6 linked regions of the Xenopus tropicalis genome follow. The protein of the gene in region 6 interacts with the protein of the main gene of each other region in a pairwise test. Links are inferred from orthologs where the notes say so. Each region holds a gene or a part of one and is shown on either strand. Other genes may lie near its edges. The genes, in order: mxd4, plekhf2, mga, mxi1, mxd3 and max.

Region 1 (4,585 bases), on a different chromosome or scaffold from region 6:
CTCCATTAAAGGTACCTCCACCTGTCCAGGTATAAAGCTGAATTTAAGTGGACATCATCTCCAAACATGAAATGCACATTCTTTTCCCTTGACCGTCAATGCACAGCAAATGGATGCATCTCTGGTCGCTCAACAGTGGATGGACAATAATTTGAATGGAACAGAATAATATCCCATAAAGTCTCAGAGCAAACACCTTTTTTTTTTTTTACAGTAAAGAGTCTGAAAAATAAAATCTCCTATCAAAGATCACCTTGACATACAAAAGTCATAGAAATTGGACTTCTCTCTTCCTCTCCGAATCCAAGTGCTTAAAATACTGACGCTACAAAATTCATTTACCTGTACTTCAAGAAAATGTAGATTTTTTTTATATAGATATATATATATATCTTTATATATTCTTACGTATAGCTATGAAATTTGACCAGCATTGTACAAATTCTTCTTCATTCTCAAAACTAAATGGTTCTCTGGTAATCAAAAATAATCCGACCTGCGCCTTTTCTCTGTTTCTGTGTAATACTATATAATGGAATGATATGATTGTAGAACAGGGCTTTGTTGAGCTTCTACTTTATATTTCGTTAATGTCCCCCCCCCCCCCCCCCATTACCTCACACCAAAACTCACGGCCCAAGTTAGAGAAGAGGGGAGGGGGCTCCAAGGCAACACTGAGAAGTTGGGGGCTAACAAACATTTTGGGGGCTGATATCCTTGATACATGTGCTGTTAATATCTTACAATGGGGCTCATTTACTTTATGACTGGGAAAAAATTACCTCACTGTAGGACTCACAGCAACCAAAATAACTTGCTTGGATCAGTCTGCTGAACACTGAATGCAAATATCTAATCTGGTTGCTATGGTTTACTGCACTTCGGCAACAGTGCCCAGTGTGGTAAAAGAGCTCCAGTATATATTCCACCCAAGGTCCCCCCCCTTCTCTCCTTGGCAAGTGCCCCTATGCTAAAACTTGGCCGTTCCACAATGTACTTTTTTTCTCCCCTGCAACATAGTGCCTTGTTGCAATCTGTAGTGGTGTGGTTACAATGCAAGGGGCCTCAGCACATAAAAGCTCCTTGTCGGGACTGAGCATGTTCAGCCCTTGCCAAATGGCAGTTGACATATCAGTAACTTTCTTTTTTGAAATTCTTTTTTTTTTTAAGTTTTTTTTCCTTGTTTTCTCTTTATAAGTGCCTTCAGCTTGGTGGTCCTGAATTGGTCCAGTGTTCAGGCCACTATGAAAGTCTGGAATTGAGCCTCAGGGAATGTGTGTATCCACTACTGCTGGAGCCGCTTTGCAAACTGTAGTGGTCATCAACGTCACTGCCAATACTGTCTATTTCCCCTGGCGTGAACTCCATGCCTTCAATATCGACCTCTGAGGAGAGAGGAAATGGAGAGGTTCAGCCATAACATTTGCATGCATCGGTTGTAACATTTGTAAATATTAATTAGGTGTATAACTAAGATAATGATGTGAAATGTACGCTGAGAATGGGGACTGGCATGGCCTCAGAAAGGCTCACTGTGATCAGGGTCGGACTGGACCACCGGGACACCAGGAGAAATCCCAGTGGGCCCCGGCGGCCCAAACCCGACCCGACCCTTGCCAGCGCTCCCATTGTGTGACCGTTCCTCCCCTAATGCGTTAAAGTTATGTGCGCTCAGCGAGGATGCCGGGTTGGGGACCCTGCAGGATCCATGATGCAGGAGGCCCGGTGGGCCTTGCAACCCAAGTCCGACCCTGACTGTGATTGGCTAACTTGCTGCATGCAAATTATGATATACCAAGCTATCATTAAAGGGAACTAAAGCGCAACTAAAGAAGTAGGGCTTCTGGGCTTCTGTACCAGCCCAAGGCAACCATAGGCCTTTAGCAGGGAAGGTCTGTGCCCCCATAGATGCCCCAGTAGCCCCCCATCTTCTTTTCTGCTGATTCCCTGCCCATACTCTGTGCTGCTGTAACTTACCTGAGCTTAGGGGCCCACTCACTATATACTGTATATATACCGAGTATAAATGGCACACTATACTGTATATATAGAATATAAATGTCACACTATACTGTATATATAGAATATAAATGTCACACTATACTGTATATATAGAATATAAATGTCACACTATACTGTGTAGCAGGGAAGGTCTGTGCCCCCAAAGATGCCCCATTAGCCCCCCCCATCTTCTTTTCTGCTGATTCTCTGCCCATACTCTGTGCTGCTGTCACTTACCTGAGCTTAGAGACTCACTCACTATATACTGTATATATAAAATATAAATGTCACACTGTACTGTATATATAGAATATAAATGTCACACTATACTGTATATATAGAATATAAAGGTCACAATATACTGTATATATAAAATATAAATGTCACAATATACTGTATATATAGAATATAAATGTCACTATATACTGTATATATAGAATATAAATGTCACACTACACTGTATATATAGAATATAATGTCACACTACAGTATACTGTAAATATAGAATATAAATGTCACAATATTGTGACATTAGTAATTTATGTGGATTTACATTACATGGCAGCCCAGAAACCAGTGCAGTAAACAGAATTTAATAATCAGCCCTATAGCATCACTTTATATGACAGGCCAACCTCATACTCTGTAATAATTTCCTATGACCCCTAAGCTTAGCTTCTCAGCTGCTGCCCTGAGAACACCAACGGGGTTATGTAAAAAAGGAACCAAGTTTGCCCAAGTGCAGTAACCCATAGCAACCAATCAGCAGGTAGAATTTTCTGGTGACTTGTTTAAAAACACACATGTTGATGGGTCTATGAATAACTGCTCCTGTGTCCTGTATTACATATGGTGGTACGCATGAACCACCTACGGGTGGGCGATATCGGGAGAATCCCTGGGGCCAAACGATCAAATTATAATGGCGGGTATAGGAAAAATCGGTCCGGGAGCTGCATCAATAAGCCGATGCGGTCCCCGATCCGACTAGATTTTTTAACCTGCCCGATCGATATCTGGCAGATTTCAGGACAGGTATCAGTTGGGCAAGCCCGTCGGTAGGGCCCAATTAGCTGCCGAATCGGTCTAAGGGACCGATATCAGCAGCTAGAATCGCCCCGTGTATGGGGACCTTTAAGCAACAGAAACTGTCATCTTAGTATTTCTCAGTGACAAGTATTACTAGGGTAACGAACATGTTACTTAGCAGAAGGCCTTTCGTGATTATTACATAGCCGCACATCTGTGTGCTCTATTTTGAACCGCCGCTTCCCCTATGATTACAATGATGACTGAGTTCATCATCAATGTATTGCAATAAGCAGTAGGGTGCAGGCGTGTAGGGACCCTAGGGCAGGCAGTAAGGACAGGGCTCCCCTGTGCCCCCCGACGCTGCATTCTGTACCTAGTACCGGATTTTCAGTCCAGCTCCAGGTGCAGAGTGCATCATTCCCAGGGCGCAATCGCTTGTTAAATGAGTGTAGCCCAGTGTAGCCCAGCCATAATTAGAATTATATAGAGCCAAAATAGGCAAGGTGACCAATTATTCTCCATTACCTTGCTCCGAATCTGTGGATATAATGGAGCCCATGCTGTCAGTGCGCATTCGTTCCATCCCGTGCACGGAGAGCTGCTCTAAACGGCGCTTGAGGTAGCGATGTTCTCTCTGAAGCTGTTCTTTAACATTGAGAGCTTTTCTGTCCTGTTCTTCTAGTTTCTACCAGAATTACCAACAAAAAAAAAGACAGACTATGATAAGCAGCAGCAGCAGCATATATTGGCCATAGATGAATACCAAACAGATAGACGGGGAGTGGGGGAAATAACCGATTGACAGCTCCAGGTCTAGTAACCCATAGGAATCAATCATATGTTTGTTTTTAATTAGTAGATCAATAGATGCTAACTACCGATTGGTTGTTACTAAACCTAGAGGAAACTCAAATGAATTCCCCAGTTACATGTCCAAGCTAAATTACCCATCATTCTAGCTGAATGCGTGTCTAGCTAAAGTACCTTTATGTGCATTTTGGCTCTTTTCAGAAGGCTTAGAGTAGTATGTCTGTTGCTATCTGGCCCAAGAGGCACGAGTTGCTTTAGCTGCTCCAAATATAATCGTAATTTTGCTCGCCTAAAAAGAAAACAAGAAGAGAATGGTTGGTCAGCAGGGAGTGCAGAGCAACGTTTTCCTAGCCAATAAGATCTCTTGCTGATCGCATGACATAATCAACAGAACAGCATATTCACATAATGACGCAGCACCACTAATAGAGGCGTCAGATTTGGTGCATGGTCTGAAAAACCTGTCAATCAGAAGTGAAAGGATGTCACATGACTAAGTAAGCTGCTAGCCAAGCGACCAATTAGGACTGAATAAGTTCCCTGCCTTATGAGCCAAACTCTAGCACAATGGAACTGTAGGTTTTGTAGTTTGAACCATGGTTACAGCGCTTGGGTCCTGGGTACAATTCCAATACAATTCCAGCCAGGGGACTAATTGCAAGGAGTTTGTTATTCTCTTTACATAGTGGGCTTCCTCCCACACTCCCAATACAGGTTAATTGGCTCCGTGGTATACTGACCA
Region 2 (5,271 bases), on a different chromosome or scaffold from region 6:
CGGCTGGATGAGAGCTGAATACTGTTACATTTATATACAAAAAACTTTAAAATCAACTAAACATTTCCAATGGATGCATATTGTAAAGTTGCTTAGATTTTTATTTATTAGGCCTTTTTGGGGGAGGGGGATTCTCCATTAAGTTAATAATTCCGCCATACACAATACTGTATAAACCAAACCACTGAGATCTAACAGGGGATCCAAATAATAAAATATTAAGCCTATGACACAGTGCGTTACAAAAAATAATATGCCCCATTTAAAATATATAGGATATAACATTCATTTGCAACAATGGGAAATGCTGCACCTGTGGGGTAACCCAGGCAACCAGGTATTTACTTTTAGCTCTTTCAATTGTCTGTTCAAACCTATTTGCATCAGCGCAGTAATTCTTTAGGAAAGCAGTGTTCCTAATCTGGCCCCTGAGTATCGTACTCCAGCTGTTTGCAAATGACATTTCCCAGCATGCTCTGACAGCCGGTCCTAGCAGAGATAATAGTTATGCATTTAATGATTCATTTTCAGGGGTGTTTTTGTTCTGAACTCTGCATACTTGTGTTTATTCGCTTTATTGCTAAACAGGCACTAGGTAAACACTACACAGAAGGCTGAAACATCATCTCTTTTGAAGACTGAACAAAGCAGTGGTGCTGTGCATTCTAAGAAACTGTGCAAAAATAGAGGGTAAGGAATTATGCCCTTGTGTTCCTGAACCAGTTAACACTACTCAATGAGCCTCTGGTGTATGAAATGAAATAGCCTCCTGCCAAGAAACTGTACAGCACAATAAACACTCTGCTGAATGAACTGCAAAGGGGAAGTCAAACCAATCTAGCTAAGAAAATCAAAGGCTGTTGGGGGGAGTTTAAAGCTTTTAATGTGTGGGTAACAGGTCCCCTTTAAGTTCAACAACTGGAATAAAGTTGCAGCTACAGGTTACCAGCACACAGGCTGCCACAATCAGACCAAAAACTGTGGAGTTCAAGGCTCCCCTACCCATTTTTTCTATAAGGGAACCCTAAAGCGCAAGTAGCAGTTACAGGAAGTCCTCAGAAATACATTTTTTCCTGTGTGTAGGGATAGAGTGTCATCCCCGCCCAAGGAAGACACAACTGCAACAGCAGCAATCTACCGCTCTTTCCAATAAGAAGTTGAGGCAAAATTATTGGTTGGGGAAAATCACCGGTGACATGCAAATTCCTAAACCCTTATAGGCTGGGACACAGAAGTACACCACACCTCCCATACATATGAAATGTCAAAGGGGAAAGGATTATTGCAACATAGAAAAGCTATATCATTTATTTATGATCATAGGAGTTACCATCAAAGTTATGTTTTATTAATCAGAATTTTCATGCAAATTATTCTGACCCTGTATGCACAAGTGTTTTGGAGATCTGGAGTTTCATAATCATACACCCACCAGTGTCAGTAACCTGAAGAAGCTCCACAGAAAAGGGTGGGCAGTGAGCAGCTTTACCAACAGGTCAGGCACAGCCCCTTCTGCTGCTCTCTCTCCCCCTTTCTAAACCTACAACCTCCTTCTCCCTAAGGGTGAAGACACACTGGGCTTTTAGTAGCAGCTACTTTTTCAATGCTACTAAATGCCAGAAAATACCCTGCCATAGACAATACTGAAAATTGGCTCTGCTAAAACACACGTAGAGACAATTATCAGTAAATGATCAGCATTGTCTATTTTTTTAGCCATGACAAGTAGCTGCTACTAGTAGCTCTGCCCTCAGCTCTGGAGAGGAAACTTCTGCGATTTCGGGGAAATCGCGGCACCGCATATGCCATCCCACCGGCGATTTACATACTTGCCGGTGGGATGGTATTTCGGGGAGATTAGTCGCCCGCGACAAGGGAGATTCGTCGGGGGCAACTAGTCTCCCCGTCTGCCACAGCCCTAAGGGTCATGACACACAGGGAGATTAGTCGCACCCAGGGGCGGGCCAAGATGACCGGGCGCCCTAGGCAACCCGGTCGGCTACCTCGCCCCCCGTGTGCTTTCGCGCATGCGCAGTCGAGGGGGGCGGGGTTTGTGACGCGATAGATCATTGCCCCCACTGCATGATAAGCGGCGGGGCAATCACTAAGAGAGCAGACTAGGGGTAGGCAGGAGGGGTTCCTGCCTGGAGGATGTAGGTCCCTGCCCCGTAGAGCTTACAATCTATATGGGAGGGTAACTTACAGACACAAATAGGCAAATATAAGTGCTGTAAGCCACTTGTAAGCCATAGCAACCAACCAGCAGGCAGAATTCACTGGTCACCTGTTTAAAATGCAAACATGCTATTGGTTGCTGTGGGCAGACTATGTGCTTAATACCTTTATATGGTCACACAATTGCTGACGGATAGCGTCATACTTTACAATAAGGGGTACATTATGCCTGATACCTATGAGATATTTACTCTGCAAACTGAGAAACCATAAACAGCACTGAAACCAAGTGTGTCCCTTTGTCATGGAATAACTGGGCTTCTCATGGCAGGTCAGTTCCCCATTGGCTGCGCCGCTGCATAGCGATGACTCAGGGCAGTAAAAGCCAAATGGATTTTTTTAAACATTAGGCCTATTTAAAAAAAAAAAAATGCTAAGTAAAAGTGGCCTGGAGGTAACAGCAGTGAATTTAGTTTCTACAACAGGTAGGAATTGTTTCCTCTCCTCAAGTGCTGAACATTTCTACTGCCTGTACCCCTGCTGGCTTCCCAGGTGGCCTAGGACATGATAGATAGATAGATAGATGATGATAGGTAGATAGATAGATGGTTAGAATGAATAGATGAGAGATAGTGGAAACTAAAATAATAGGTATGTGTTTCTGCCATGCTTTGCCAGTTATAAAAGCCTGAAATCGTGGCAGGTACCAAGCTCGGTGCAAAGTGCCACTAGTAATAATATAATGAGCTGCCAACTGTGTCTCTCACTGACTGACAACATGGCCGCGGGAAAAGCTCGGAGGGAAAGTTTCCGCTCACCCCACAAACACTGACAGGAATGAGGGTGAGGGTTATGGGACAAACCATCTAACGCCGCTGGGGGGGGGGTGAGTGCGTTACGAACTTACCGAAGTGAAGGAAGTGATTACTACACCGAGAGCTAAGCTTTGCGATTCTCCTGTGCCTTCCCGGTAAGTTCTCCTGCGGCGGCGGCGGCGGCTCACACGGACTCCTGACACGGCGCAAAATAACGCGCGGCCTCCCCTGCGCCGCTCATCGGGGATTTAGGAAGTATCGGTAGCGTTAAAAATAATAAATAAAAGGAACGGGCAGCATAAACTCCTGAGAGACAGGGCGGACACTCCTCTCATCACGTGAAAAGGGCGAGCTCCGCCCCTCGGCGTTGGCTGGCTGGGGCGGCAGGGCATGTGGGGATTTGGGGCAGGGACCTTCAACCTGCGCTGCCGCTGCTGCAACTGCTGCTGGAGTAGTGTAGTACTGTAATGTACTGTAATGTAGTAGTGTAATGTATTAGTGTGGCAGCTGCTGGCTTTGTAGCGGCGCCGAGCTGCGTTCTACCCATAACGCAGTATTAAAACAAAACAAACCTCTGGCTTTAAACATAAACTTGTGGCTTCATACATGTCTGTGTAACGGGGAAATGGTTTATTTTATTTGTGAGGGAGGGGCAAACGCCATGTTGGAGGTGGCAAACTTTGTTTTCGAGTGCATTACGTACCAAAATACATTGAAGTGAGTTAGAATGCATTTTAAACATATATGCACTTATTTAATCGACAAGTTTATGTGCATGTATGTATTTGGCAGAAATGGCGTCTGATAGTGGGGGCGCAGATCGTCCCTCCTAAAGAGATGTGGATGCCGTGTACAAAAGCCCAAAACATAGGGGGAGATTTACTAATCCACGAAGGCGTCCGAATGCGTTTTTTTCGTAATGATCTGTATTTTTGCAACTTTTTCGTCGCTGTCACAACTGTTTTGTATGTTCTGCGACTTTTTCGCCGCCGTCGTGAAAAAATCGGATTGGTTTTTTAGCCGTTTACAATCGCTTAATAAGAAAAAATTGCGATGGCGATGAAATAGTCGCGCAAAATACGATAAAGTCGCGGCAGCAACTAAAAAGTCGTGACAAATACGAAAAAATTGCGACAGCGACGAAAAAGTCGCAAAATTTTTGTTTCCAATGCGATTTTGTCCCTTTCGGGATTTGCATTCGTGAATTAGTAAATCTCCCCCTTAATGTTCAACATTTCTGCCCTACTTCTTTAGTTAGGCTTTAGTTCTCCTTGAAGATAGCAGCTGCCATTTTAGCTTGGTCTTCATAGCTTCCTGCTGCAGCTCTAGCTGTTTCTAGCTCATCACACATTCTGATGGGAGGGGGGAGTGAGGTTTAAGAATTCTTACGCGAGTTAGGAGAAGGGAGAGAGCTGCGCAGACTCTGGCTCCCAGAATGAAGGATTTTTCTGAGAGAGGAAGTCCCAAAAAGGAGACAAGAAATCCTGTGTTTCTTTAGATAGAGGGCTCAGTGCAGCGTTTCTGTGAGTGCTTATGGCTGTATTTACATAAACCTTTCTGATAAAGCTTACTTTTTTAACCTCCTTTAACACTCACTTTTGCTTCCAGCTAAAGATAATATGATGTAAATGAACCTTGGCAAGGGCATAACGTCATGGCCCCAGGCCCCCAGCAAAACTCTGTCTGTTTCATGTGCACCCAATAAAGTGCACCCTTTGAATGACCCACGACTGGCCTCTTCCCAGCCTCCTATGTTTACCAGGCTGCCCGGCAGTTAAGATGTCTACTTCCCTTATTTCGGCCATAGAGAACATGTTCGCTGATTCATAATATATGTACTACATTGTTCTGGTTTATTAGATGAGGAAATAGAAGGTGTAGATCAATTTAACAGAATGCTGGAACAAAATATAACTAAGCAAACGCACATTGCACAACCCAAGAATGCACCCAAGCAGCCAACTACATGTGTGTTACCGTATATACTCGAGTATAAGCCGATCCGAATATAAGCCGAGGTACCTAATTTTACCTAAGAAAACTGGAAAAACTTGTTGACTCGAGTATAAGCCTAGGGTGGTGGTAAGTTTTTTTTTTTTTTTTTGTTCTATACTGTACTGTATGTGTGTAGCTTTAAATTACGGTACTGGTAATTAATGATAATTAATAGCCTTTTTCAAAGTGAATAAACAGCACACAAAGACCCACTGACACCTCCAAGCGGGTGCATAATAAACATAAATAAAAACAAACAGTAAAACAGTAATGTTATATCACAGAA
Region 3 (4,707 bases), about 15 Mb from region 6:
CTTTTCTTCTGGAGGCTTGCGTTCATAGGTTCTTACTCTAGCACATGTCATCAAGCTATCAAAAAACATGTAGACTGGGTCTACTTCATCTTTATGGACCTGAAATATAAATAATTTAACTTAGAAACAAAGTTTCATAATATGGAAGGTGCATTATATAATTAAAATAAATCCTGATGAAGGCAAAGTTTAAGAAACCATCTGAAACCAGATTTTTAGATATTTTTTTAGAGGGAATTTGTTATATTGAATACAAAATACACAACTGCTGTACAATAAACATCTGCTGAACACGACAAAACAGCTGTTTCTTCATCCATCCCATTAAAGTACAAGAAATCTATGTATTTGCTTTAAAGCACCTGATTTCAAATATACATAATAAAGTATCCATTTAAACTTCCACTTTTTGAGCAACCAACTGAAGTTTGATTATCTAAAATAACTGCATTAATAAACCAACCATTTGTTGCTGTGCAACTGTACAACCTGGTGTCCTTTATATTTCACTACCTTTATTTTTTCTGAGGCAAAACTTTTTGATCAATATACAATGAATCATATTTTATGAGAAAAATAAAAACCCATAAATGTAACTTTCGGTATCTAGTTCATGTACATAACCGTAACGGTCTGGACTGGTAAAGCATCGTACTTACCATATGGTGCGAGGATCCTCCACAAGCTTTACTCGTGCCAGGGGGTGTGTGTTTTTCGGACTGCAGCTGTTCAGTTTGTGGCATTCGGACTTTGCATTCCTCCAACTCAGACTGTTTTGGAATACATATTGGCTCGGGATCTGCATCATCTTCCCATATCTTCCAAATTGGAAACTGTTCTAGAGGCAAAGGGTAAATATTCTGCTGGCCTGTAAGAAAAATATGCAATAACTAAAGCATGATTTGCTGAACAAACAATGCTCTAAACACATAAGAGAACCATAATAATAAATATAAAAAACAATAAATCGTACCTTACTAACATCATATATTCCCTACAAAAAAATGAACAAAAAATTGAAATGGATTGTACACAATGTTTTTAAATTAAATGTGTTGTGTGCTGATTCACCTGACCAAACATTCTCAAATATTAAACAATGTGCATGACACGGATATGTAAGTCCCTGCAAGGAATATACTGATCAACTCCAATTATAACAGAGAGGGAAACTCTAACAGTAATTAGTTAAAAACAGCAAAAATGTCACTCACTGCTCTCTGCAGAGTTGCTTTTGAGTCTTTTTTTGGCTTGTTCCCTGGTTCTTAGAACCTCTTCAGAATCTCTTGTTGAAAGGGAATAAGGGTTTTCTTGATTGGCTGTTTGTTCCATGCAGTCTGCTGAACTGTCAATGTCTATTCCATTATTTTCTGAAAGCTGTTCCATGCACTCTGCTAAGTTTCTGATGTTGGACACATCTTTTTCTAGAAGGTGTTTTGTGCACTGCATTGAGCTTTTGATATCTATCCCAACCTTTTCCAGAGGCTGTTCCATGCATTCTGTTGAGCTTTTCATACAGAAACACTCTTTTTCTGTAAGTTTCTCTGTGCACTCCATTTTGATATCAATTTTATCTTTTTCTAGAAGCTGTTTTTCTTGTATGCATGAACATTCAAGCATGCAGTCAGCATGGCGGCAGTGAGCAAAATTGTGCTCCTTATTATTAAGACTCTGGCACACACAACCCAGCCGGCAGAACAATTTGTTGCATGGAGAAATTTGTTTCCGAACAACTTTGTGAATTGGTTTGTTTTTAAGAGAAGCCTAAAAAAAAAAAAAAAAAAAAGACAAGAATTTTTAATTTATTGGAAAACTTGGTAGTTTATAAATCCTTAGCAATAAGTTTGCAATGGTTACCACTAGGCACGTGCTTCCTTAAGAACCTACTACAGGAAGCCGAAGATTATAGTCTTGTTATTTGTTTGAAATGCTACATGCCAAAGATGGTTCCCCAAATGTTAAGGAACTCCCAACATGCAATAACATTTGACTAAAGTTGTAGTCCAGCAACATCTGGGGCCTGCGGTTAAGAAACAGTATCAAAGACAAAGGGTAACTAAGTAGTTTGGGGGGTACTGCAAGAGCTCACCAATAGACTGGCTTCAATAAAAGCTATTACAATGAGCTATGATTCCCTCCAATGTATCCATTAGTTTTTAACTGTTGGCATTTTGCTCATGTGTACACTACACAAAAGGCAAATACATGCATAAAAACGATTTTATTGAGATTCCTGACACGTATAAACCTACAGACATAACACATAATAGCCTAATGTAAAACATACATTTAGGTTATTTTCCCTATGATATCTTTTACTTTAACAAAAAAAATTCAGAAAACCTTATACACTTTACATCTGTAAGCAAAAATCTTTTGGTCATCCATGTACCAGGCCAAACTAAGTTGATCCAGTTGTTTGTCTCCAGACCAAACTGCATAGGCCCAGAGCAAATTAAAATGTGGGCCTATGCAAACAGACTGGGAGGGAAAGTCATCAACGTGCTGATGCAGAATTCATTCAAATTATTTTAGAAATCTACCTGGTCGATATTCAACCATTTATTGGTTGGACAGGGCCTATACAAGGGCCACTATACAGCTGAATGAGTCTGGAGGGCTGGACAACTTATATCAGCACTGTTGGATAGCTCTAGATCATTAAAGGGGAAGGAAAGGCTAATAAAGAGTTAATCTCAAGCTGCAGGCATACTTTCAGCTCTCTCAATAGTGCCCTTAAGTCTCCCCATATTTCTCCCATTCAGAGATCAGAAGCCATATAGGAAAAAAAAAAAAAAAGCTGAGTTCTGTAAAGAAAATTCTCATAATGCCATGCTCCGGCACCAAGACCAGTGTACATGCTCAGTTTGTAAGACTATGAGAAAGCTTCCTGCTGATTGGGTCAGATCACACATTCCTAAAAGGGGGGGGGGGGGGTAGGGAGTTCTTAGCATTCTTGAGGGTGGAAGAGAGGACAGAGCTACATGTCTCTGGCACAGGAAAACAAAGACAAAAAATCCTGTTTAATTTAAAAGAGAACTCAGTGCAGCATTTCTGTGAGAGCTTATGGCTGTATTTACATAGACCTTTCTGATAAAGCTTACTTAGTTTTTACCTTTCCTTCTCCTTTAAGAATGGTAACAGGGTAATTCTGGGGAGTGAATGATTTATTGTCCAACCCTATTGGCACTGGGGCGTGCATCTAGCCTCCTGAAGCACTTAATTGACCTTTAGGCATTACATCATTTTTTAAATAAAAAAATAAGGAGACATTGTTTGTACATCTGACAAATACTTTATATAAACAAATAATACTATATTAGTGTATTTAGGGTATCTCCATTTGTTCTCTCCAGTTTAGGGTTTAGGAGAAAGTAGATATATCTGTTATTATTGTAACTGGATACACAAAGATGGCAGTTCCAAGTACAGGTATGGGACCCGTTATCCAGAATGCTCGGGACCAAGAGTATTCCGGATAAGGGGTCTTTCTGTAATGTGGCTCTGTAATTCTGAGCTTTCTGGATAATGGGTTTCCGGATAACAGATCCCATACCTGTACAGTTATATTTGGGAGCAGTAACAGTCAATAGTCCGTTACATGTATATACAAATAGATAGCTCTCATCTTAGAAGCTCTCAGGTTACCTATCTAAAAAATTCTTTTATAGCCAGGAACCATGATAAAAAGTACAATTAATAGGCAAATTACCTGTGCAGTGAGGAGGACAACTAAACATGTATCTGCACGCTCCTCTGTAATGTAAGTGCGTGATTTTCCTTTCCAGAGGGTATTTTCCTCCATATCCAAAAGTTTCATGTGAGACTTGGAAAATCCAAAAGGTCGTAATTGGGGTTGCTGATTTGGCAGCTGGACTTGCCTTATACTAGGCAACAAGGTCTCTTCTATGGATGGTACAAGGCTGGGTATCCCTGGAATGACCTGATCCGATTCCTGAGAAGGCTTAATAGAGGTCATACCAGTTTCAGAAGCAACAGGATTGTCTCTTATATTCTCAAACTCCAAGGATTGTTTTCCCTTTGCTTTTATTTTTGGTGTTGAAGCTTTGCATGGTGTCTTGGTTCGTTTTCTTTTTGCATGGGGTTTTGATGCTTTTGAGGAAGGTGATGGCAGAGAAATTAGCTTCTTTAGCACAGTATGAATGGTCTTTACAGAACTTGTACTTACAGCCGGAAGCTGGCTAATAGCTGATGGCTCTGGCTCATTTTGTGTAATGCCACCAGAAGTCTCCATTAATCTGGCCTCATTCTCAAGATATTCGTCTAATTCATCACTACAGAAAGCTGAGCGATTTTTCAAAGAGCTGTCAGGGCTCTTACCTATAAAATACGAGAAGCATGGCTAATGTTACTATTTATTAAAGAGGCTGTATACCCTCTTTTCAACATGAATTCACTGAATAGGGAATTAGCCATTTTTGCCTAATGTTTCACAAAAATCAAATCAATATAATAGATGGCATACATACCACTGATCACTGGTTTTGAACTATGATTATTAGAAGAGGATGGCATGGAATTTGAGAATTTATCCTTCCAGCCTTTTATCTTTGTGTAATCCATTGTTTTGCCAGTTCTGGAAACAAATGGAGATCTAGAAGCTAAAATAAAATAAGCAAAATAACTTGAATTATGTGATTTAGGCAAGTCTTATACATATACCTACAAGCATGATATAGCAATACA
Region 4 (4,707 bases), on a different chromosome or scaffold from region 6:
AACTATAAACCCAGTGAGAATGAGGAATGAATGGGTATTGGGGAGTTGTATCAGGAGTCAGAACCAGCAGTGCAGGGAAGGGAAAGGGACAGACACAGTGACAGTTACACATAACTATAAACCCAGTGAGAATGAGGAATGAATGGGTATTGGGGAGTTGTATCAGGAGTCAGAACCAGCAGTGCAGGGAAGGGAAAGGGACAGACACAGTGACAGTTACACATAACTATAAACCCAGTGAGAATGAGGGATGAATGGGTATTGGGGAGTTGTATCAGGAGTCAGAACCAGCAGTGCAGGGAAGGGAAAGGGACAGACACAGTGACAGTTACACATAACTATAAACCCAGTGAGAATGAGGGATGAATGGGTATTGGGGAGTTGTATCAGGAGTCAGAACCAGCAGTGCAGGGAAGGGAAAGGGACAGACACAGTGACAGTTACACATAACTATAAACCCAGTGAGAATGAGGAATGAATGGGTATTGGGGAGTTGTATCAGGAGTCAGAACCAGCAGTGCAGGGAAGGGAAAGGGACAGACACAGTGACAGTTACACATAACTATAAACCCAGTGAGAATGAGGAATGAATGGATATTGGGGAGTTGTATCAGGAGTCAGAACCAGCAGTGCAGGGAAGGGAAAGGGACAGACACAGTGACAGTTACACATAACTATAAACCCAGTGAGAATGAGGGATGAATGGATATTGGGGAGTTGTATCAGGAGTCAGAACCAGCAGTGCAGGGAAGGGAAAGGGACAGACACAGTGACAGTTACACATAACTATAAACCCAGTGAGAATGAGGAATGAATGGATATTGGGGAGTTGTATCAGGAGTCAGAACCAGCAGTGCAGGGAAGGGAAAGGGACAGACACAGTGACAGTTACACATAACTATAAACCCAGTGAGAATGAGGAATGAATGGGTATTGGGGAGTTGTATCAGGAGTCAGAACCAGCAGTGCAGGGAAGGGAAAGGGACAGACACAGTGACAGTTACACATAACTATAAACCCAGTGAGAATGAGGGATGAATGGGTATTGGGGAGTTGTATCAGGAGTCAGAACCAGCAGTGCAGGGAAGGGAAAGGGACAGACACAGTGACAGTTACACATAACTATAAACCCAGTGAGAATGAGGAATGAATGGATATTGGGGAGTTGTATCAGGAGTCAGAACCAGCAGTGCAGGGAAGGGAAAGGGACAGACACAGTGACAGTTACACATAACTATAAACCCAGTGAGAATGAGGAATGAATGGATATTGGGGAGTTGTATCAGGAGTCAGAACCAGCAGTGCAGGGAAGGGAAAGGGACAGACACAGTGACAGTTACACATAACTATAAACCCAGTGAGAATGAGGGATGAATGGATATTGGGGAGTTGTATCAGGAGTCAGAACCAGCAGTGCAGAGCCCTTAATGGTTCCTGGAAATGTTGTGGCTGCTGCTATAAAGTTGTGTGATACTGAATCTTTGGGTCAGAACTGGGCTGCTAAACCCTGGTTATTTATAGGAACCACTTCTTGGTTTGTGTGGTGTAACTGTGAGTGGGTAGGTACCTACCTGCTAATGCCGAGGCCACTGCATCTCTTTGACTTGATCCTTCTCTGTTTTAATCCCTGTGGGTCCAAACTCTCCGGAGACGGGAAGGTCGAGGCATAGCCATGCTCACACTCTGCAACGGCACCAACATGTCAGCCCAGGGCCTGGCTCCTCCCACCCATATGTATAAATACAAATATACAGAGAAGGAATGTTCTGGGCACACAATAAGCTGTACCCCCATACTGTACTGTCTAAGGGAAACACTATGGCACCTCCTACCCATATGTTTAAATACAAATATACAGAGAAGGAATGTTCTGGGCACACAATAAGCTGTACCCCCATACTGTACTGTCTAAGGGAAACACTATGGCACCCCCTACCCATATGTATAAATACAAATATACAGAGAGGGAATGTTCTGGGCACACAATAAGCTGTACCCCATACTGTACTGTCTAAGGGAAACACTATGGCACCCCCTACCCATATGTATAAATACAAATATACAGAGAGGGAATGTTCTGGGCACACAATAAGCTGTACCCCCATACTGTACTGTCTAAGGGAAACACTATGACACCCCCTACCCATATGTATAAATACAAATATACAGAGAGGGAATGTTCTGGGCACACAATAAGCTGTACCCCCATACTGTACTGTCTAAGGGAAACACTATGGCACCCCCTACCCATATGTATAAATACAAATATACAGAGAAGGAATGTTCTGGGCACACAATAAGCTGTACCCCCATACTGTACTGTCTAAGGGAAACACTATGGCACCCCCTACCCATATGTATAAATACAAATATACAGAGAAGGAATGTTCTGGGCACACAATAAGCTGTACCCCCATACTGTACTGTCTAAGGGAAACACTATGGCACCCCCTACCCATATGTATAAATACAAATATACAGAGAAGGAATGTTCTGGGCACACAATAAGCTGTACCCCCATACTGTACTGTCTAAGGGAAACACTATGGCACCCCCTACCCATATGTATAAATACAAATATACAGAGAAGGAATGTTCTGGGCACACAATAAGCTGTACCCCCATACTGTACTGTCTAAGGGAAACACTATGGCACCTCCTACCCATATGTATAAATACAAATATACAGAGAGGGAATGTTCTGGGCACACAATAAGCTGTACCCCCATACTGTACTGTCTAAGGGAAACACTATGGCACCTCCTACCCATATGTATAAATACAAATATACAGAGAAGGAATGTTCTGGGCACACAATAAGCTGTACCCCCATACTGTACTGTCTAAGGGAAACACTATGGCACCCCTACCCATATGTATAAATACAAATATACAGAGAAGGAATGTTCTGGGCACACAATAAGCTGTACCCCCATACTGTACTGTCTAAGGGAAACACTATGGCACCCCCTACCCATATGTATAAATACAAATATACAGAGAAGGAATGCTCTGGGCACACAATAAGCTGTACCCCCATACTGTACTGTCTAAGGGAAACACTATGGCACCTCCTACCCATATGTATAAATACAAATATACAGAGAAGGAATGTTCTGGGCACACAATAAGCTGTATCCTAGTACTAGAGACATTCAGTAATTGGGTATATTTACCCTTTATTAATACAGTCTTTCTCCATCACAAATAAACTGGGGGCAGTTAAAGCTCAGTGCAATTAGGGACATGAATCCGATTGCTGGGGGGGTCTCTCAGCCCATAAATAATGCAAACCCCCCCCCCTCCAAATATCCAGAATAACATTTTATTTGTGGCAGGAAGTAACGACCGACAAGTTAACTCATTATTACACTGAGGCCAAACCATTTCTCACTGGGGGGGGGGTTTGCGGGGGGAGATGAGCTCATCCCATAAATCCGCACTGCATAATCCACATGGGGGGGCGCCATGTTTCCAAACAAACCTCCTGCTCTCCCCCCGGGGGCAGTTAGTGGAAAGGGTACCCCCCCATCCCCCGCTAGCCCTAATTATAATGGGGGAATTAATTACACAAATCAAGTTGAATACAATCATACAATGGGGGGGGTACAAGTTCCCTCAATTTGCCCCTGTGTGTGTGTCAATTCTGCCCAACTCCCCACTCATGTTCATTAGTCACACAGAGCCATGTATGGCCCCCATTGTTACCCCCCCCAAATACATATTAGCAATGCAAATGTTATATTTTATGGAATATTTCCCCCCCCCCCCCCCCACTGGGCAGTCACATTCCCAGCCTGGGCCCTCTGGCACTCACAGGGTTAATTCCCATGCAGGTACAGAGGCTTACGGACAAGGAGGAGTTTCCTCAGTTACCCAGCAGCCCCTGTAATTCTGTACCAGCTACGGAAACACAAGGGGGACATTCCCAGCCCATTTACCTCTCTCCCTTCTCTCCAGGTATTCGGCCGCCTCCAGCAAGCGCTGCACATTCAGCATCCGGACACAGTCCATAATGCACCGGGGCAGGGGCACCCCGAAATACCCCCACAGGTACCCCCAACTCTCTCTCATATATATATATAGAATAAATGGGGAGTCGGGTACTGAGAGCCCGGAATGCAAAGGAACATGAGCCCGGGGGGGGGGCAGGCTGGGGGGCAGTTGGTGGGGGGGGGGGGGCAGAACTCGGGGGGCAGTTGCCTCTCAGGCTCCCGGGCTGCACTGACTCGCACTGTGTTTACCATCTCGCTGCGGAGAGAAAGGGACGGACTTCTGAGCCGCAAGTGCTGCTGGGAAATGTAGTCTTTCTGCCCCAAGTCTGCAATGCCGTCACCTATTAACCCTCTCCGTTGGATAGAGAGAACATGGGGGGCTGGGGCAGTTTAGGGGCAGGAGTGGGGGCAAATGAATAGACAAAACATGGGGGGTAGGGGCAGTTTAGGGACAGGAGTGGGGGCAAATGAATAGACTAAACATGGGGGGGTAGGGGCAGTTTAGGGACAGGAGTGGGGGCAAATGAATAGACTAAACATGGGGGGTAGGGGCAGTTTAGGGGCAGGAGTGGGGGCAAATGAATAGACAAAACATGGGGGCTGGGGCAGTTTAGGGACAGGAGTGGGGCAAATGAATAGACTAAACATGGGGGGGTAGGGGCAGTTTAGGGACGGGAGTGGGGGCAAATGAATAGACTAAACATGGGGGGGT
Region 5 (5,383 bases), on a different chromosome or scaffold from region 6:
ACTAAAAGAAGAAAACAGAGACATGACATTCATGGAAAAGTATCAGTGTGCCAATAAAGAGCCACCTTTTTGTATATATTGTCTGAAACTCCTCTAAGCTGTTGGTGGAAATGGTAAGGTAAGACCAAGAGCAAAGAAGATTTTTCAGTCTCCAAAAGAAATAGATTTCCAATCATCACTTTAGTTTTTTTTTTTTAGAAGTGAAAAGCCAGCAAAAAAGGGTTTCAACACTATCTATAAGGCTGCACAGATTGCTAGTGAAAAGTAGTTCAGTGGTGTCTCACCTGACATTATCTGGGTTGCTGTTTGTTCTCTGACGCTTTCGCCTCCCCGGGGTGGCAGGATCACATGGCAAGATGGAGGCATAACCATGCTCTGCTTCTGAAATCAATATTAGACAGTCTTAACGTTTGGAGAAAAAAACCAACAAAACGCATTTATATATTTAATACAAAAGCCATGCATAACCTGTCAATTAAATCCTTATAAATTGTGCTTAGTGATGTCATTTGACTCACTTAAACTTGTGTATTAATATAGAGTACCCCCCCTGGTCATAGGACATCACCTCAGTGACTTAAAATATCCTTAGATTTTATAATAGGGGTAATTTATTCAGTATATATTAGAGTTTTCAAGGACAGACAGCAACGAAGTAAAATGAAAATACCGATGGTCTTACACGGTAATAAACTTATTTGGCGAGATCTAATTCAGCCACCCACAACCCCATACAGTGGGGCCTATGGGGACCCGACGAATGAGGACTGCAGCACTGTGCCAATACATTCCTCGAGTCAAACCTGCCCAGTTTTTGGACAGATATTGGTTGGACAAGTTGGTCGGCCCCATACATTGTATGGGGCATTGTATTATCAGCCCATATTTGACCAGCTCACTATAGAAAATGAGAGGGGACAACAACAAAAAAAGTACATCTTATATTATAACATTCTTACACTAGTGCTACTACTTTTTAGTTGACAGGACAGGTAGCCCAACCATCAAGTGCAATCTTATTCAGTTTCATGAATTAATATAGCGTCAGGGTTTACAGTTTTAGGGTTTAGGTCAGAAATAGTGATTCATAATTTAGAGTGTTTGAGTGAGCATACACAGTAAGATCTGCTTTTGGGTCTCTGCCTAATGTGGCCACCCATCAGCAGAGTACCGCATCTCACACAATGGAATTTTCCCTGGTCAGAAACATTTCAAGTATGCCACCATTTTGGAGCCATACATAGCACAATAAGCTGCCCAATCGGTCTGGAGAGGCCAAGCAGTCAGCTTAAGTTGTCCTGTATACGGGGGCTGAAGCAGTGGCAGGAGGGCTTAACCTGAAAAACATGGCGAGATGTGAAATTTGGGGATAGTACTTATTTGCTCTCCTAGACATACCTGAACAAGGCTTATCAGTCAATTAGGATGGCATCTGTAGTGAAAACATAGTTTTGGTACTAGTTATTCTTGGAAATATGGCTAATATAACTATATATGTAAACATGTTACAAGCTAATGGGTACCTTCAACTGCAACTACTGCTCTAACATTTAAGGCACTGGTTAACCCATGCACATTGACAGGGATCCAACTTGTGACACTAGATTGTGTCACCTGACAGCTTTTGGGGGACTAGACCAGTGATCCCCAACCAGTGGCTCAGGAACAACATGTTGCTCACCAACCCCTTGGATGTTGCTCTCAGTGCCCCCAAACCAGGTAGTTATTTTTCAATTCCTGACTTGGTGGCAAGTTTAGGTTGAATAAAAACAAGATTTCCTACCAAATAAAGCCTCCTGTAAGTATTTTTACATTTGACTGTGTCTCATGAGTAAGAAAGGTTGGGGACCCCTGGACTAGACTACTACAAGGTGGAGAAAAATATATATAAACTCACCTCTTTCCCTTCGCTCCACATACTCAGCAGCTTGCAGAAGAACCTGCAGATTGCTGGGGAGCTGCTCCATTTTGGCAGGGGGAGATGCAGCAGTAGCCTCTCAAGAGATTCTTGATTTCGGCAAAGCTCCTTGGGCAGTCTCTTGCTTTGGACTCACTTCTCTGCTGCCTCTTAACCTTAGCAGTTCACAGCTTCCAATAGTTCCAACTGTCCAAGAAGAACCAATAATTATATGGTCAACTTTTCATTTGTCAGGAAAAAATATTACTTGAAAATATCCTTAAACTACTCTACTACATACACAAGTGGGATCAAATCACCCATTTTATTGGGCAAACATATAGAAAAAAATACAGTAAGAAGTAATACAGATTTGGCAACAAATTTTCTTCTTTTTAAAGTACAGGTATCCCTTATTCGGAAACCCATTATCCAGAAAGTTCCAAATTACGGAAGGCCCATCTCCCATAGACTCCATTTTAATCAAATAATTCACATTTTTGAAAATGGTTCCCTTTTCTCTGTAATAATAAAACAGTACCTTGTACTTGATCCCAACTAAGATATAATTAATCCTTATTCGAGCCAAAACAATCCTACTGGGTTCAAACAATTTTCTTAGTAGACTTACGGTAGGAGATCTGAAATACGTAAAGACCCCTTATCAGGAAAACCCCAGGTCCTTAGCATTCTGGATAATGGGTTCCATGCCTGTACATGTCCCCAGTTAAAGGGGTGATCTGGTCAGAATGTGTGAAAAGCCCCCCAGCAATTGTTCTGTGGCCGTGATCTCTAATTCACCTGCACTGCTACTAGAATTGTGTGACTAATATCTTGGCTGAATAAAACCATGTATAAATGTACAAGTAAGGAGGAAGAAATGAATAAGATACCTTGGCAATTCCAGCAGCTGCAGGACTGTCAGTAGCAGAGGCAGGAGGGATGCTGGAAAGCGCAGTCCCAGCCAGTTCAGTTACAAACTAGTTCCTCCCCCCACACAGAACAAATTCTATTTATATGGGCCGTGATCCTCCCATGTCCCCTAGTGTAGCATTATCAGCCGATCGCCTCCATATTTGCTCTATGCAAGGCCCGAGGAGTAAGAAAAGAGAGGCCCCTGGCAGCGCAGGGAGCTGGGCCCTGTCCCATAAATCTGTGCTGCCCAAGCTGCACATCCTACTGAAATTCAATAGCCCACAATCGCAGCAACAGAGTTGCAGGAGGGCTGGGGATCTGCAGGTTGCCTGTATTTCCTAAACAGATCGACCAACTATTACTTAGTATTACACGTATTTTATACTTTTAATCGTCAAGGAGACCGAGGGTACAGGGCGAAACCCTCTGCTGTAGGCTGGCTCCTTAAGGCCTCCCACCTCTCAAGACTTGTTATTGTTATGATCGGATTTCCCCACCCTACAAGGGATCTCTCCAGCTCATCCGCCCTCCTCACCTGATCCCTTCCAATATGTGCCCACAGCATAGGCCGTCCTCCGAGTCGGGATCTCTAGCTGTCACACAGCGGAACCAACACCGGAAGAAGCAACGTAGCTGATACCTACCGAGCGACGGCAGAACGAGTGCAACTGCCTGCGGGCCCGCCCACCTTGCCCCGCCCTAGGTCACATATTTCCCTCAGCTACACTTACCGCCGCTATTATTACTTGAGCTCCAACTCTCGGCCCTTTGCTTGTCCCTGCCGCTACTCCAGGATGTCGCTGGCACAATGAGATTGGGACGTTTTCAGCCGCTTACCGGAGACCACGGTTACCATGGAGCTTCCTGAAACGGGCGGAGCTTCCTGTGCGAGTTTTTCTATTGGATACTGAGAGAGGGGGGCGCGGCGTTGTTTAGAAGCGTCATGTTTTATGGCAACAGTTTCAGGCGGGAAAGTCAAGCACCTTTCAAAATTTCAAACACAAAAAGCAGCGGAATACATGTAAAACTGAGACAAAATGGTGGGAGAAGGAAGGCGGGATAGAGTGGGATACACTGAGCTACTCAAAGTAGTTCCTCGAAACATTTTATTCTTGAGAGCCCCTAAGGTTCCAGGGCGTATTTACAGTGCTAACTAATAAGTATAATAGAGCTCATTGCTAAACGACTAAGTGGGTCAAGTTATTAACGTGAAGCCTTTGTAACTACAGAAACATAGACATTTGTCGTTCTACCTGCAACTGCAGAGATGTGTCAATGCTTTCTGTGTTAGGGTCTTTGTCTCCCATAGTCAGACATTGGGGTGTAATGGGACTTAAATGAGGGGCATGGCCAAAGTGTGCTACAAAATTACTCCACAAATGTCCAATTATTTTCTTATTACCCCTGCTCCCTCCTTTTGAGGTGGCACAGGATGGAGGACAAAGTGCTCAAATGCAGGACTGGACACCATCACATAGGTTTATTTATAGATTTTAGGATCCCAAACTTGAACAGTCTCGTTGGCAGTAAGCATAATGTCCCACGGAGAGCTTAGTCACCTACGCTAAATCTCTGCTGCCGCAGGCGACTAATCTTTTCAAAAAACCTTTCCACCGGCAAAAAAAGGAATCAACAGTGGAAAGGCCTGCAGGAGGAAACTTCACACGATTTTGGAAAGCCAAAGGCATTTCGGATTGATTAGACGGCCCCTGTAGCAGAGATCTCTTGCCGGAGACTAATTGCTCTGCTGGACAATCTAACAGGCTTAGATGGCCAATAGGGCGGTGCGTCAGCTTCCTAGCCAATGGTTCTTTGGTTTGTTCGCAAAAGCAAACACTATCTCATATAGCTTTAAAATTGCTAAGCTTTGGCAGTGATGAAATGCCTTTGTTGTGTTCTTTCAATCAACATGGAAAATACATTAGTACAGTGCTGTCCAATGAATAAGTCATTCAGTTTATTGGGGGTCAGTGGAGTTTACCCTAAGTTTAACCCTTTCCCACCTTTTCACATAAACTACTTAACTCTGTAAGTTTAGAGGCCCAATGATTGATTGCTGTGGGGCCCAATTAATATAATATAAAGTATATAATAATTACTGTGTTAATAAGCCAGTATTTTAATTGGGGGGTCAGTGAAGTTTATACTTCAGTTTCGTAATTTTCTGTTAAGGTAAGATACGTTTTTGCACAAGCTACATAAATTGCATTAGCGTAGGGACCCAGTGATGTTGCTGTGCAGCCCAATAACCAGTCATTCCCCTACTGAAACTTCATGTAGAAGACACTAATAAAATTCAGTAAATAGCTCCTAAAACAAAAAGCTGACATTACTCTATAATAAGCAGTTCATATAAATAGTTAAAATCAATTATTAATGTGCCAATAAGTCAGTCTGTTAATTGGGAGGAAAGTAGAATTTACTTCTAAGTTGTTGAATTCATTGGTGGTGAGTGGAGTTTGCCCCTGTTTGCCCCTTCTCTGCATTGTATTTTGCAAGTTACTTAAGTTGCCAGGCAAGTTAGGTCAGTTTCTTAAGTTTCCAGGCAACATTTGTGGAAGTTAAGTAAAT
Region 6 (5,338 bases):
CGGTCGTCTCATCGACCTGCCATACACACACCTAATATCGTAGAAACTAGGCTTTGTACGATAATATTGGTGTGTGTATGGCCACCTTTATTGTGAGAATTCTTTATTAATCTACTAACATTCTCCACATTCAACTGATCAAATAAGAGCTTCCCAGTATCCCCCATCAGTGTCTCCCATCTTTGTCTATTTATGTGTATTACTATTTTTTTTTTTAAATTGCTATTTTATATTCATAACAATACCCTGCTTGGTATTAAAGGTATGGGCTCTATTACTCTACTAATAAGGGCAGGGGGTCTTTCTTATTGGTATTTCCCACAAATTCTACTGCATGATTTGCCTTTATTATGGATCTGTACTGGGTCGGAAAGCATTAAATACAAGGCATTGTGTAAATATTATTAATAAAAACAGAATGGGTCAGAAATTACCCAAGGAGAATAATGGATTAGGCAATGTCAGTTTTTAGTTAATAACTAGCTTCCGGATTTATCATCCATATCTATGTTACCAACACGCTTATACATTAGCCCAGTCCTCAACAATGAAACTAAGAACCAAATTCTGGATACATTACCAGCAACTCTAAGGGCCCTGGCACACGGGTAGATTAGTTGCCGGTGACAAATCTCCCCGAAATGCCATCAAACCGGCAGTTCCTCTCAAGGCAACTTCCGCGATTTCAGGGAAAACGCGGCGCCGCGTATGCCATCCCACCGGCGATTTACATTTTTGCCAGTGGGATGGCATTTCAGGGAGATTAGTCGCCCATGAACAGGGAGATTTGTCACGGGCGACTAATCTCCCCGTGTGCCAGAGCCCTAATAGTACAAAGCCATGAACACTACTAGTATTCCAGGACAGCCTACTGCCTGGATGTGGTCCTTCTTAAAGGGGACATGATTACTCTGTACAAGTACATTAGAGGGGATTATAGGCAGATAGGGGATGTTCTTTTTTTCCCATAAAAACAATCAACGCACCAGAGGCCCCCGCTTTAGATTAGAGGAACGGAGCTTCCATTTGAAGCAGCGTAGGGGGTTTTTCACAGTGAGGGCAGTGAGGTTGGGGAATGCCCTTCCTAGTGATGTTGTAATGGCAGATTCTGTTAATGCCTATAAGAGGGGCCTGGATGAGTTCTTGAACAAGCATAGTATCAAACACTATTGTGACACTAATATCTACAGTTAGTATTAATGATTGTATCTATAGTTTATGTATGTGAGTGTATAGATTGGTAAGTATAGGTTGTGTGTGCTGGGTTTACTTGGAAGGGTTGAACTTGATGGACAATGGTCTTTTTTCAACCCTATGTAACTATGTAATATGAACAACTATGCCTAACATCACCATTTCCTACAATCTGATCCTCTCCAAAATATTTAATATCAAGGGTAATATAGAAAAAAATGGACAACAAACAAGCAAGCCTGTCTCACTGGGACACCAAACAACCAGTGGAGAAATGATGAAGCTCCGCCCGCCCCCCCCATGAGTCTGGCCAACAGAAATATATACAGACACCTGTTCATAGTATAACCTCTGGCTGTTACCCTTCCAAAATAATAGGGTATGCATACACGTTTGTTGCCCTTCACCGAGGTGTCTATCTTACCACCCTGCAGTTATTGTTGGATAGGTACCAACAACATAGAAAACAGGTCAGTAATAAAGGCACTAGTCCCAGAGTCCCATGCCCACCATACAGAGCAGGTATCATTACACATCTACTGGGGCTGCCTGGTGTGTATGCGATGTTTACACTAAGGGGCACATTCATCAAAGTACAATTGAGTGTGAATACAAAAAAAATTGTTTTAGAACTGTGCGTTTTTTTCGCAACTTTTTCGTACTTTCCAACAATTTGCACGACAAAATCGTATTTGTCGCAACGAGTACAAAAGTTTCATTATTCATTCAAGCTTCAATATCGTGACTTTCCTTGGGCCAGGTTGGAGCTGCAGAGTGCCATTGAGCCCTATGGGAGACTTTCCTTGGGTCGGGTTGGAGCTGCAGAGTGCCATTGAGCCCTATGGGAGACTTTCCTTGGGCCAGGTTGGAGCTGCAGAGTGCCATTGAGCCCTATGGGAGACTTTCCTTGGGCCGGGTTGGAGCTGCAGAGTGCCATTGAGCCCTATGGGAGACTTTCCTTGGGCCAGGTTGGAGCTGCAGAGTGCCATTGAGCCCTATGGGAGACTTTCCTTGGGCCGGGTTGGAGCTGCAGAGTGCCACTGAGGCCTATGGGAGACTTTCCTTGGGCCAGGTTGGAGCTGCAGGGTGCCATTGAGCCCTATGGGAGACTTGCCTTGGGCCGGGTTGGAGCTGCAGAGTGCCATTGAGCCCTATGGGAGACTTTCCTTGGGCCAGGTTGGAGCTGCAGAGTGCCATTGAGCCCTATGGGAGACTTTCCTTGGGCCGGGTTGGAGCTGCAGAGTGCCATTGAGCCCTATGGGAGACTTTCCTTGGGCCAGGTTGGAGCTGCAGAGTGCCATTGAGTCCTATGGGAGACTTCCAAAATCCTCCACTGAAGGGTCAAAGTCAGAAAGGTTTTTGAGCCGTTTACGATCGTACGGATACGAAAATTTCGTAACTTTTGCATCGTACCACGATATTTTCGCACAAGTACAACGCGACTCTTCGCAAAATTAACGCACATTAGAAATTTTTGTATTTAATGCGAATTGTCGCCAATTATACTCTTAATTTGTAATTTAATGTATCGGCCCCTATGTGTTGGTGAATGTGATAGGGACCTTAGATAGTAAGCTCCACTGGTGCCAGGCTGATATGAATGATGGGATACTTCAGTGCTATATAAATAACAATAAACCCCAGACTGATGAAGGTACCCTGGGCACTGAAGGAATGCTGGGGTCCTAGTATATAATAATATCATAATGGGGATATTGATTTAAGGACCCTCCAGCTGTTGGGCTGCAGCCCTCCCATCCCTGCCAGGGGAGATGCTAAGGATTGCAGAGCAGCTGGAGGGCCGGTGGATGCTACAAGTTATACTACATACAGTGCAGGAGGGATACAGAGTCCTAACAAATAAAACAAGATGCCCTGAGATACTGGAAGCCCAGGACAAATGCCCTCTCTCTGCCCTACCCGAAAACCTTCTCCGTATTGCTGAGGATGCTGGGATTTGTAGTGCAGCAGGACCTAGGCACACACAGAATAGGAAACACTGTTCCTGTTACAGCTAGAACCAAAAGCGGTGATCCCTGCTAAACAGACAGTTGCCCCCTCTCCAAGGGACAACACAGCCACCCCCGCCCCCACCCCATATAAAGCCAAGTTAAAGGGAAGCGGAACCCGCACTCACGTCGCTTTCCACCTCGATGTCATCGTTATCGCTCATGCTTTCCTATAGTGATGGGAAGGAGGGGAGAGGCTGCTCGGGCCTGAAAACAAACACTATGGGCAAAAAGAAAAAAAAAATAAAATCCGAATTAAGGGAGGGAGAGAGGGGGGGAAGAGACCCTCTCTGTGCCCAGGAAAACACACCAACGGAAGCCACACGTGACTCCACACTGCTAGGGATCATTAGCCAGAGCTCTAGCCTCTCAGAGAGCCGGCCCGCTGCATGCTGGGAAATGGAGTTCACTAGGGCCGGAAGCGCTCTGCCAGCTTATGCGCCTAAACACGGAAATTGACTACAACTCCCTTATAGCCTTGGGAGCAAACAAGCTTTACTGCGCAGGCGCGACGTTCCAGGCCGCTGATGGGATTTGTAGTCTACACAGGTAGCGGCTTCCCGGAAGTGGGCTGGAGACACGTGTATAGACGGGAAGCTGGGCGAGTTTGTGTTTGTGTGACTGGGCTGCTGTGGCGGCTACGGGCTTGTTGTGTAGTGACAAGGGAAGGGCCTGCGGGGGAGATGGGAGAGAGGCTTAGGGAAGTAGTGGGGCTTTTCATCTTCATCCGCTTTGGACTAATACAAACTGATATTATATCGTTTAGGGGTGTATCTCAAGTCGTAAGCGTATTTATGTATATCACATCTACAGTTTGGTTGTTCCGGGGGCAGAAATTATATGATGGGAAATGACGTTTTATGCCATTTCTAACAAAAAGATACCGACACCAAGCGTGTTGCTAACGAAGCAGATGCCATAGCAACCTTTTCGTGCACCTGTTGTCAGCTCGGCAGATATAGAGTATAGAAAAGCCCTGCGTGGTGCCTACTGTATTGTGTGAAATAGCTGAATAAAGCAAAAAAAAAAAAATACTACCCTTTACAAGCTTAGATTGTAAGCTCTACAGGCTTTCCTACTGTGCCTCATACCAAATGGTGCTTAATCTCTGTGTATATATACTTATTTGTTATGTTTTTTATAATATGTGCCTTCCCCGTGTGTACTGTTATATGATTGTACAGGTATTGGATCCATTTTCTGGAAACCTGTTATCCAGAAAGTTCCGAATTACGGAAAGGCCATCTCCCATAGATTCCATTTTAAACAAATGATTCTAATTTTTAGAAATGATTCCCTTTTCTCTGTAATAATAAAACAGTACCTGTACTTGATCCCAACTAAGATATAATTACCCCTTATTGGGGGCAGAACAGCCCTATTGGGTTTATTTAATGGTTAAATGATTCCCTTTTCTCTGTAATAATAAAACAGTACCTGTACTTGATCCCAACTAAGATATAATTAATCCTTTTGGATGGAAAACAATCCTAATGGATTTATTTCATGTTTAAATGACATTTTAGTAAACGTAAAGCATGGAGATCCAAACTACGGAAAGATCCCTTATCCGGAAGACCCAAGGTCCCGAGCATTCTGGATAACAGATCCCATACATGTACATCTCTCCACATTCCTGTAGCGCTTTATAAAGTTATACAAACGTACAGGCCCCTTGTGTATTATTCAGCTGATATCTGGCAGATTGAGGGGTTACAGTGTAAACACAGGCTGGTACTCCACAACTGTCCAAAAAATATCCAATAACCGCTCTTATTGGGGAACCCACAATAACTTGTGCGTCTCACCTACACTCACTCTATGGGGCCTATTCATCAAAGTACGAGTTTGAATCCCGAAATGGGAAAAATTCGGATTAAACACGATAATTTCTGATGATCGCAAATATCACGAAAATGCTTATGAAAAAAACGTATTAGTCATGATAATATTGTATTGGCGATCCGAAAGCCATGAAATTTTCGTATCCGAACGATCGTAAACGGCGGGAAAACCTTTCTGACTTTGATCCTTCTGTGCATGATTTTGGAAGCCTCCCATAGGAATCAATTGCACTCTGCAGCTCCAACCTGGCCCAAGGAAAGTCTCCCATAGGGCTCAATGGCACTCTGCAG

Evidence for each region.
Region 1: the proteins of max (region 6) and mxd4 interact in a two-hybrid assay, tested with the Homo sapiens proteins (2 studies listed by BioGRID). The link is inferred for Xenopus tropicalis from reciprocal best matches to the Homo sapiens genes MAX and MXD4.
Region 2: the proteins of max (region 6) and plekhf2 interact in binary tests that used the Homo sapiens proteins (3 or more experiments, as listed by UniProt). The two-hybrid records come from large-scale screens. The link is inferred for Xenopus tropicalis from reciprocal best matches to the Homo sapiens genes MAX and PLEKHF2.
Region 3: the proteins of max (region 6) and mga interact in binary tests that used the Homo sapiens proteins (3 or more experiments, as listed by UniProt). The link is inferred for Xenopus tropicalis from reciprocal best matches to the Homo sapiens genes MAX and MGA.
Region 4: the proteins of max (region 6) and mxi1 interact in binary tests that used the Homo sapiens proteins (3 or more experiments, as listed by UniProt). The link is inferred for Xenopus tropicalis from reciprocal best matches to the Homo sapiens genes MAX and MXI1.
Region 5: the proteins of max (region 6) and mxd3 interact in a two-hybrid assay, tested with the Homo sapiens proteins (4 studies listed by BioGRID). The link is inferred for Xenopus tropicalis from reciprocal best matches to the Homo sapiens genes MAX and MXD3.

The regions. Positions count from the first base shown.
Region 1 is NC_030677.2:21,431,696-21,436,280, forward strand, and holds the end of mxd4 (max dimerization protein 4), read right to left. Parts: intron 4,133-4,585; coding exon 4,018-4,132; intron 3,719-4,017; coding exon 3,559-3,718; intron 1,386-3,558; coding exon 1,243-1,385; 3' UTR 1,184-1,242; downstream 1-1,183. UniProt on the Homo sapiens protein: Transcriptional repressor. Binds with MAX to form a sequence-specific DNA-binding protein complex which recognizes the core sequence 5'-CAC[GA]TG-3'.
Region 2 is NC_030682.2:130,454,539-130,459,809, forward strand, and holds the start of plekhf2 (pleckstrin homology domain-containing family F member 2), read right to left. Parts: upstream 3,285-5,271; 5' UTR 3,083-3,284; intron 1-3,082. UniProt on the Homo sapiens protein: May play a role in early endosome fusion upstream of RAB5, hence regulating receptor trafficking and fluid-phase transport. Enhances cellular sensitivity to TNF-induced apoptosis.
Region 3 is NC_030684.2:105,153,511-105,158,217, forward strand, and holds part of mga (MAX gene-associated protein), read right to left. Parts: intron 4,623-4,707; coding exon 4,491-4,622; intron 4,342-4,490; coding exon 3,713-4,341; intron 1,765-3,712; coding exon 1,215-1,764; intron 869-1,214; coding exon 660-868; intron 100-659; coding exon 1-99. UniProt on the Homo sapiens protein: Functions as a dual-specificity transcription factor, regulating the expression of both MAX-network and T-box family target genes. Functions as a repressor or an activator.
Region 4 is NC_030683.2:2,931,955-2,936,661, forward strand, and holds part of mxi1 (max-interacting protein 1), read right to left. Parts: intron 4,103-4,707; exon of another isoform or gene 4,075-4,102; coding exon of another isoform or gene 3,942-4,074; intron 1,684-3,941; coding exon 1,572-1,683; intron 1-1,571. UniProt on the Homo sapiens protein: Transcriptional repressor. MXI1 binds with MAX to form a sequence-specific DNA-binding protein complex which recognizes the core sequence 5'-CAC[GA]TG-3'. MXI1 thus antagonizes MYC transcriptional activity by competing for MAX.
Region 5 is NC_030679.2:46,162,293-46,167,675, reverse strand, and holds the start of mxd3 (max dimerization protein 3), read right to left. Parts: upstream 3,570-5,383; 5' UTR 3,544-3,569; intron 3,493-3,543; exon of another isoform or gene 2,791-3,492; intron 2,105-2,790; 5' UTR 1,968-2,104; coding exon 1,898-1,967; intron 403-1,897; coding exon of another isoform or gene 382-402; coding exon 285-381; intron 1-284. UniProt on the Homo sapiens protein: Transcriptional repressor. Binds with MAX to form a sequence-specific DNA-binding protein complex which recognizes the core sequence 5'-CAC[GA]TG-3'.
Region 6 is NC_030684.2:119,934,846-119,940,183, reverse strand, and holds the start of max (protein max), read right to left. Parts: upstream 3,510-5,338; 5' UTR 3,368-3,509; coding exon 3,332-3,367; intron 1-3,331. UniProt on the Homo sapiens protein: Transcription regulator. Forms a sequence-specific DNA-binding protein complex with MYC or MAD which recognizes the core sequence 5'-CAC[GA]TG-3'. The MYC:MAX complex is a transcriptional activator, whereas the MAD:MAX complex is a repressor.